Linked DNA regions of Zea mays. The main gene of each other region encodes a partner of the protein of the gene in region 2 in a complex. Links are inferred from orthologs where the notes say so. Each region holds a gene or a part of one and is shown on either strand. Other genes may lie near its edges.

The links. The genes of interacting proteins can lie anywhere in the genome.
Region 1: Transcription initiation factor TFIID subunit 6 (region 2) and transcription initiation factor TFIID subunit 10 share a complex: the UniProt entries of both Arabidopsis thaliana proteins name them as parts of the TFIID complex. The link is inferred for Zea mays from reciprocal best matches to the Arabidopsis thaliana genes TAFII59 and TAFII15.

What each region holds. Positions count from the first base shown.
Region 1 is NC_050102.1:124,193,908-124,198,049, reverse strand, and holds the start of transcription initiation factor TFIID subunit 10, read left to right. Parts: upstream 1-1,342; 5' UTR 1,343-1,445; exon of another isoform or gene 1,446-1,566; 5' UTR 1,567-1,584; coding exon 1,585-1,728; intron 1,729-1,811; coding exon 1,812-1,876; intron 1,877-2,013; coding exon 2,014-2,076; exon of another isoform or gene 2,077-3,993; intron 3,994-4,142. UniProt on the Arabidopsis thaliana protein: TAFs are components of the transcription factor IID (TFIID) complex that is essential for mediating regulation of RNA polymerase transcription.
Region 2 is NC_050104.1:148,199,636-148,203,644, forward strand, and holds the end of Transcription initiation factor TFIID subunit 6, read left to right. Parts: coding exon 1-57; intron 58-148; coding exon 149-257; intron 258-377; coding exon 378-484; intron 485-569; coding exon 570-707; intron 708-785; coding exon 786-881; intron 882-998; coding exon 999-1,123; intron 1,124-1,803; coding exon 1,804-1,936; intron 1,937-2,061; coding exon 2,062-2,187; intron 2,188-2,285; coding exon 2,286-2,397; intron 2,398-2,544; coding exon 2,545-2,921; 3' UTR 2,922-3,058; downstream 3,059-4,009. UniProt on the Arabidopsis thaliana protein: TAFs are components of the transcription factor IID (TFIID) complex that is essential for mediating regulation of RNA polymerase transcription. Required for proper pollen function. May stabilize the interaction of TFIID with selected promoters.

The DNA of each region.
Region 1 (4,142 bases), on a different chromosome or scaffold from region 2:
GGTTTCGGGTAACGGGTACCCATTGCCATCTCTACTCACTAGCCTGCCCTCTAGCGTGCTGGCCTCCGTCAGCGTCGTCAGACTCCCCCGCTGGCCTGCTGTGTCTCCCACCATCAGTCCCCCGCCGGCCTGTCCTCCGGTGCCAGCGTGTTCTCCAGCAAGCATAGCCCGCGAGCCTTACTAGTGCTGTCGTCGAACAAGTAAATTGGTTGCTAAGCCTGATAATGAGCTGCCAAGTCATCTATTTGACATGCTGAATCAAATGCCTAGTTTCAATTCTACACATATATCTTTCTACTATGCTCATCTGGTGGCCAATCCTCACATCGGCAAAGCTTTCTACAACCGACTATTTGAGCACAAATTACATTAGATCACAATGTTCATCGCTGAGAAATTCTCTGAAATGTAACTGAGTTGATGGTGAGAAGTAACTTTTGTTAGTTTGTAATAGTTAGTGATGGTGAGAAGTAGCTTTTGTTAGACTGAAATGCAACAATGAGTTGAACTTGATCACTGAAATGCAACTATTAGTTGAACTTGATTACTGAAATGCATCTTGATGTTGTTGTGATGTTCCTTTTATTATGACTGAAATGTAACAATGAGACCTCATCACTCAAAATTTATGACTTGGTTAATAAGGGCTTTAATTTATGTATATCTTGTGCTTATGGATCTCTCAAATACTAAAATAGTGCCAGTTTCATTTATTTTGAATGTTATCATCTCATTTAGAATTGAAGATATAATCCCGAGTGTGGTAATATGACCAGGAAGGTGATCATATTCAGTTCATCCCTCATCACGAAACCAAACAAGAGATGATGCAGCTCCAATCCACTTTAACCTTGTAATCAAATAAGAAACTAGGTTTGACCTGTCAATGAAACCAAAGAAGGAACGAGTCCGATCCAATCCAGAAAAATGGATCAGCTTCGACCCGACCCACATCGTTTCGAAACCAAACACATGCTAGGATTCTTCTTCAACCTTTCCTCCGAAACCAAACACATGCTAGATTCTTCTTCAACCTTTCCTCTACCCTGCCTCACGAGTGAGAAAATTGGATTTCATGCTTTAAATAATTTGTTTCTCACTTTTTCTGTTTGTAATATTGACTTTATAAAAATAAGACTCATTTACATTTGGGTTTAATAATATTTTGGATATTTTTGTTCTTCTATACCATTCTGTGTATTGCATCTGTACGTATTCATGCGAGGATAAAAACGTCTAAAATAACATTAAAAACAAGTGTGATACGTTTTGATTTTACGAAATCAATGTTATGAATGGCAAAAAAAAAAAAAGATGAAGCGAAACATATGCTTTGGAGTCCAAAAATCTAATTTTTTCTGGGAAAAGTGCGAGCACATTGTTTGTTTGGAGAAATCCAATTTTCTACTCACGGACGCCGCCCCTGTGCCTCGCCATCGCCTCAGGTACGCAAGGCGGCCGAACACGAGCGCCCGCCTTCGTTCTTGCCTGCGCTGCCCCTCTCCTCGCCGTTTATTCGGGCTCCTACCTCTTGTTACAACTTGCGCGGTGGGGGCAGTGAGGCAGCAAGACGTGAGGTCCAGGATGATGAACAACAACAGTGGCGGCGGTGCCGGAGGCCCTGGAGGGGGCATGGGTACGGGAGTGGGTGGAGGGGGGGACGGGCGGCACGACGACGAGGCTGCGCTCACCGAGTTCCTCTCATCCCTCATGGACTACACCCCCACGGTATGGTGCCGCCGCTTCCCTCTCGCCTTCTCTACTTTTCTGTCAGCGGCTTAACCCTGATGCTTGGTTCGGTGGCGCGTAAGATTCCCGACGAGCTGGTGGAGCACTACCTCGGCCGCAGCGGGTTCCACTGCCCCGACCTGCGCCTGTGAGTGCTCGTCTTCTTTCCAATCTCTCTTCCTGATGGATAATAGTAAGCTGAGATCTGATCAGTGCCATGGATTAAAGTTAATAACACAAATTGCTTGATTTCTTGCACACATAATCTGAATTCGTGTTTTACAGAACGAGACTGGTTGCTGTAGCCACCCAGAAGTTCCTATCAGACATTGCTAGCGATTCTCTTCAGTGAGTAAATTCATAGTCTCGTTATTGCAAAGTAAAGGATTCTCTTCTTAATTTCAATGATGATAGCATATTCATGAATGAAACAGTATCATTCTTTTATTCCATGGGAATGCAAATCTTCTGTGCAATACTGCAATTCCATGTTTTTGTCTGGTTGAACAAGTTTGTTAGGCTTCAATCAAAATCCCTCCCTAATTGCATGTACTTGTGAAATTATTCATCGAGACATGGTTATGTTTATTAGGCTTCAATCAAAATCCCTCCCCAATGAAATTATTCATTGAGACATGGTTTTTAAGGTGCCGCTTACGTGATATGGCTCGCTGGAAATCTAGGCATCCCTATCGCCATGATCAAATATAAATATAGAGACAGAGGGGGGGGAGGGCATCTAGGTCAAGAACCCGAGCTGCTGCCATCCCTGCTGGATCCAACACCAGTGGCTGGCACAGAACTTGCTCCGGTCAGCTGTGACACAGTCAATCTGGAAGGTGACGGCAGTGGTGGTCAATTTGAGAGCACAGATAAGTGAGGAAAGCGGAAAAAGTGGGAGGAAGGAGAAGTTTCAGGCAGTGGTAGGCGCATCTGGATAGAAAGGGAGAGGAGGGAGTATGCTGGATATGTGGGGGTGACCATGTATATGCGCACTGGAGCCATTGATACAGGAAGGGAAGGAGAGGCTAAAGAAAGGAAGAGCATGAAGAGAACCAGGCAAGGCTGCACCTGCACCTGCACCTGCCCTCGCCCATCTCTGTTGGCTCCGGCGCCTGTGGTCTTGCAGATCTTCACTGGTCAACTGTATAGCTCGATCTGAAGGGGGCAGCACCAGTGCACAATCTGCATGAGTAGAGCTCTATTTCAAAAGGGGTGGCGTTGGCCCTCAATCTGGGAGGTGTGCTCTTGGGGCAGCCAGGCTTGTCGTTGCTCAAAGACGGCATTGGAAAGGACTGATGTAAACAGGCAAACAGCATCAAGTGAGGAATTGGTGGATTAGGGATTGAGGGGAGAGTGTAGGGTGTTGCTTTATGGGCTGTTGGGTTAATTGGGTTCTAATGAGTTAGTGGGGTGGCTGCTAATAGTTAATGTGGCCCATCGATGCTTGTATTTACCTCTTATTCTACATTATATATCTTACTACATATTTTATGTTCCATATCATTTACTTTTTCAAAAAATGAAACATATCCCTATATTGAGTAACTGTGTAACATGCAATTATCTTCAAAGTTTTTTAAAAAACATACAAGATACACTTACAAAGTGTATGCCTGATTTTGCGGAGATTCTGTAATTATATTACTTGTATAGGAGTGTATGAAAAACAGCTATCCATGTGCCTAAACCTGTATGGTTTCAACTCTAGCCTATCCCAACTTACTTGAGACTAAAAGGCTTTGTTGTTGTTATTTGTAATTATATTACCAATGGCTCATTCTTTATGTGGTCTGACTAATCAAGTGATGAATAACTAAAGCATACTAAAATTAGGAAACAGGTCAATTAGGGTTTTTTTGGTATCATCATCATCATGAGTTACGAATTAAAAGCATACCTAATTAACTGAAGGATACCTAATCAATCATCATGATAGGCTCATGTATCACATCATGTGCCTTAGCAAGGTGCGATTTGAGGTTGTAGTGGCAGCAGGCTAGCGCCTGCTGGAGAGGCTCCTAGTTTGACACGACCTGAAATGCACATTCTGCAGTCAGCAATCTGGCAATCACATTTAGCCTAGACAGCTATGGCAACTGAGCTGCAGGAATTGCTAAATGACTAGAACAGGTGCCAAGCTGATTATTTACCAGGGTCCAGGGGAGGGGGTCTTAATAACCCTGAAAGGCATTGTGATTTACAAAGCCCGTGGAAAAACAGATCCATTGTGCGGGGAGGATGGGATCTTTCGGATTATATTGCGTAAGTTTGCCAGGGTCTTATTTTGTTGGTTTTTTTTGTCAGTGTATGATGTGCTCTACTGTTCACTATATAACAAACTATTTTAACATTTTCTTAGCGATATGTATTATACACACTGTATTTGTGTGTACTAACTTTGCTGTTACATT
Region 2 (4,009 bases):
GCTGTTGGACATAAGGATCTCTTCTATCTTGATGATCGGGAGGTAGACTTCAAAGAGGTAGTGGCATTATTAATGATTATTAAATTTTCGTACCACTTATTTCAAAACCATTCATTTGAAATGTTTCTTCCTGGTTCGTGTCATGCAGATTATTGACTGTCCTCTGCCTAAAGCCCCACTGGACACATCAGTTGTAGCCCATTGGCTAGCGATTGAGGGGGTACAGCCTGCAATACCGGAGAATCCTGCTATTGACGGTCTGCCCTTTTTGTCCAGAGATTTATAGTCATTACTTTTCTCCTTAGCAAGATGTAGTCACATTCTTCTCCAATATTGAGAGAAAAATACTTGTTGTGCCAATTATCATTTTATTTCAGCAATTGTACCACCAACTGAAAATAAAAGGTCTGAGCATGGGAAAGATGATGGACTTCCAGCTGATGTCAAGCTTCCTGTTAAGCATGTATTATCTAGAGAACTACAGGTACTTTGATTATGATACCGTGCATTGTATATTACGCATATATTTTCAAGAAACTTATATGTCTATTCACTGTTTGGTTTTGCAGATGTACTTTGATAAAATAGCTGAACTTACTATGAGTAGATCTGATACGTCCCTTTTTAAAGAAGCTTTAGTGAGCTTGGCAAAAGATTCTGGTCTTCATCCTTTAGTTCCTTACTTTTCCTACTTCATTGCAGACGAGGTTGTACAGTAGCTTTCTTGCTTTTGGTGGGTTTCTTTTTATATGACATTACTTAGTGTGTATCCATTTGAATTTCAGGTTACCCGGAGTTTGGGTGATCTTCCTGTTTTACTTGCTCTAATGAGAGTAGTCCAAAGTCTTCTCCGTAATCCACATATTCATATTGAACCTTATGTAAGTAGTAAACCATAAGGTTTTGATAGTTCATGTGCGCGACTTATTTTTTTGCCATTTTATATATTCTTTTCGCCGTATTAGTACTAAATTAGCAGCATTTGTCTTGATCTGTAGTTGCACCAGCTGATGCCATCAATGATCACTTGCATTGTTGCGAAAAGGCTAGGGCATAGGCTCTCAGATAACCACTGGGAACTTAGGGACTTCTCTGCCAATTTGGTTGCCTTGGTATGTCAGAGGTGAGTGATATGTGAAGGGTGTCAGTAAATCTTTGTATAATTATCAAAATTTAATTCAATTGCATTTGTGATTTCAATTCCTTGATTCTCATATTATGACCTTAAAGAACAGTTATGTGCCCATAAAAGTGCTTTATCTTAGTTATGCTAATATGGTATCTTTTCGACAGGTTTAAGATGAAGGTCAAGTCAATAATAGTTTGACCACCATTTCATGCTCTTTCTTCCGTATATAAGATTTTACCTATTTTGCGGGATCATGTCATATGTGACATGATAAGTTTCATGGAAGCTTACATCTTAGTGGAAAACATACCAATAAACCATTGCATGGCTTTGCTACTGAGTAGACTACATAGTGTTCCTTTTAGAGACCAACTGGTAAATAGATATTTTCACTATGCTGTGTGTGGACAGAAGATTTATTTCAGTTCTATCTTCATGCATTTGTTGGGTGGGTCATGACTTGATCTTGCCTTATGTGTTTCCATGCATCCATTTTCTTTTGGAATTGATAGATTTATAGCCTTTTGCATGCTCTGCTCATGGAGTGTGTGTATTTTCTGAATGATGATCTCTAGCTCTCTTTGCTAATTGATATTTTCTGTATGTAGTATTTGGCTAATTGCCTTAATAATTTTCTCATGACATTGTTGACCAACTGAAGATGATGGTTTCAGGTTTGGTCATGTCTATCACAACCTTCAAAATCGGTTAACTAAAACATTGATCCATGCATTTCTTGATCCTGCCAAATCACTGACACAACATTATGGTGCTGTCCAAGGGATATCTGCACTGGGGCCCAGCGCGGTAGATCCCATTTGAAACTCTTTTTTTTTTGTATTAGTTATTCCTTCCTCAGATCCCACTTATGTGGGAGCCGCCAACACTGGGTCTGTCCTATGCACTGGCTGATTGTTTTTTCTGCTTACCAGATTAGACTCCTTCTTTTGCCCAACCTTGTGACATATATGCAACTTCTGGAGCCGGAACTGCAGCTTGAGAAGCAGAAAAACGAGATGAAAAGGAAGGAAGCTTGGCGTGTTTATGGTGCCTTGCTGGTCAGTTCAGAGTTCTCAGTCAATATAATATTTATCGTATTTTGGTTCACCAACTAATGCCAGGCCAAGTTTCTTACCAGTGGAATGCATTTTTTTAGTGTGCTGCAGGCAAATGCTTGTATGATCGGTTGAAACTATTTCCTGGTTTGCTTTCTCCGTCGATGCGGCCTCTTTTACAGAGCAACAAAAGGGTCTTAACCAACAACCCAAGTGAGTGTTGAATATAAGCACAGTATCAGTTGAATATATGCCACTAGACACGTGTTGACTGGCAATTAAGTGCAAAGTGGTTCTTACTGTCAGCAGTTGGATTAGTCGAGTTTGAAAGTAAAGATTATGTTGCGCTGCAAATTTCAGATAAGCGAAAATCTAGCACAGATCTCTCTGCAACTCAGCCACCTCTGAAGAAGATGGCAACGGACGCAACAGCCAACTCCATGGCCTCAGCTTCCATGGGAGGAAACATGCAAGGTGCCATGGATGGCTTTCCCAACCAGTTAGGCAACCCTGGCATGATGCAGGCCTCGTCCTCTGGGCAGACGGTGGAGAGCATCCCATCAGCTGCGGTCCGGAGGGATCAGGGCAGTGATCTCGCGCAGAGAGTTTCTGCAGTGCTTAGGCAAGCCTGGAAGGAGGACCAGGACACCGGTCATCTCTTGGGGTCTCTGTACGAGGTCTTCGGGGAAGCCATCTTCTCCTTTGTCCAACCACCAGAGATATCCTTGTTTGTGTAGAGAGAGAGAGAGAGAGGAAATGCATAGACTCTAGGTTTTATTATTCTACGCTGTTGTACAACTAGGGATGTTTTGAAGAGTTCACGAAACCCGGTTTGACATTGTCAAAGTAATGTGACTGAAGTTGTAGTTTACTCAGTTGCTGTGCTGTGCTGCTATCCAATGCATGCTATTTATGATGGCGTTGGCATTCAGATGGCATAGTTTGCTTTTGTAAGCGCTTGCCATTTTCCAACTCTATGGGAACGTCTGGTGTATTCCCGCTACAGCTGTCAGCAGGTTAACCAAATTCCGATGTTGTTGTACGCTTACCAACAGTCACTCGTTAGTATATCTGTCAGGTTAGTAAGCGTACAGAAACTTTGGAAACATTAGAAGCTCAGTTCTTGAAATTTGGGTATCATTATCATTCTCCAGTCCTTCAGGGATGGAGTGTCACTTATCTCCTGGCTATTCCACTAGTCTATATGCTCAAAGACCATATGCGCTTAGTCAAGTCCTCTTTCACCCTGTCGTCGTCTTTATGGAGGTCTTCGCCCACGAGAACGGCACCTGAGTAATGCGTCAGGTCAACGAAGAGTGGGAAGCCATGCCACGCGTGTTAATGTGTGCACTTACCACGATGTCATCAGTAGCCATGGAGGACGAGTTCGGGACGTAGTTGCGACGAACGTGGTCGGGACAACCATCACGATTCCGGTAGTAGCGTAGCTGAGCCTGTTCTTCTCTAGCGAGGACACCAGCGGCAGAACGAGCTGGCTGCCCACGAACACGAGGATCGACAGCCAGATCCTCGCTAGATCCCCTTCCAGGTACGCGCAGATCACTGCGGAAAGATCAGCAGCGCCTCAGTTTTTTTTTTTGGCTGCTGCTACCTACCTTAGTTTCTAAATAGATGATGCTTTTAACTTTTAGATATTACATGTAATTACCTATCCTACATATTTTTAAAAACAATAAAATAAACAAGTCATTATTAATGCATCATTAGTAACTAGGTAGGTGCCCGTGCGATGCCACGGAACATAAATTGCAAACCTCCAATGGACTTTATTTGAGACAAGTGATGCCCAAGAAAATGGGGGTAA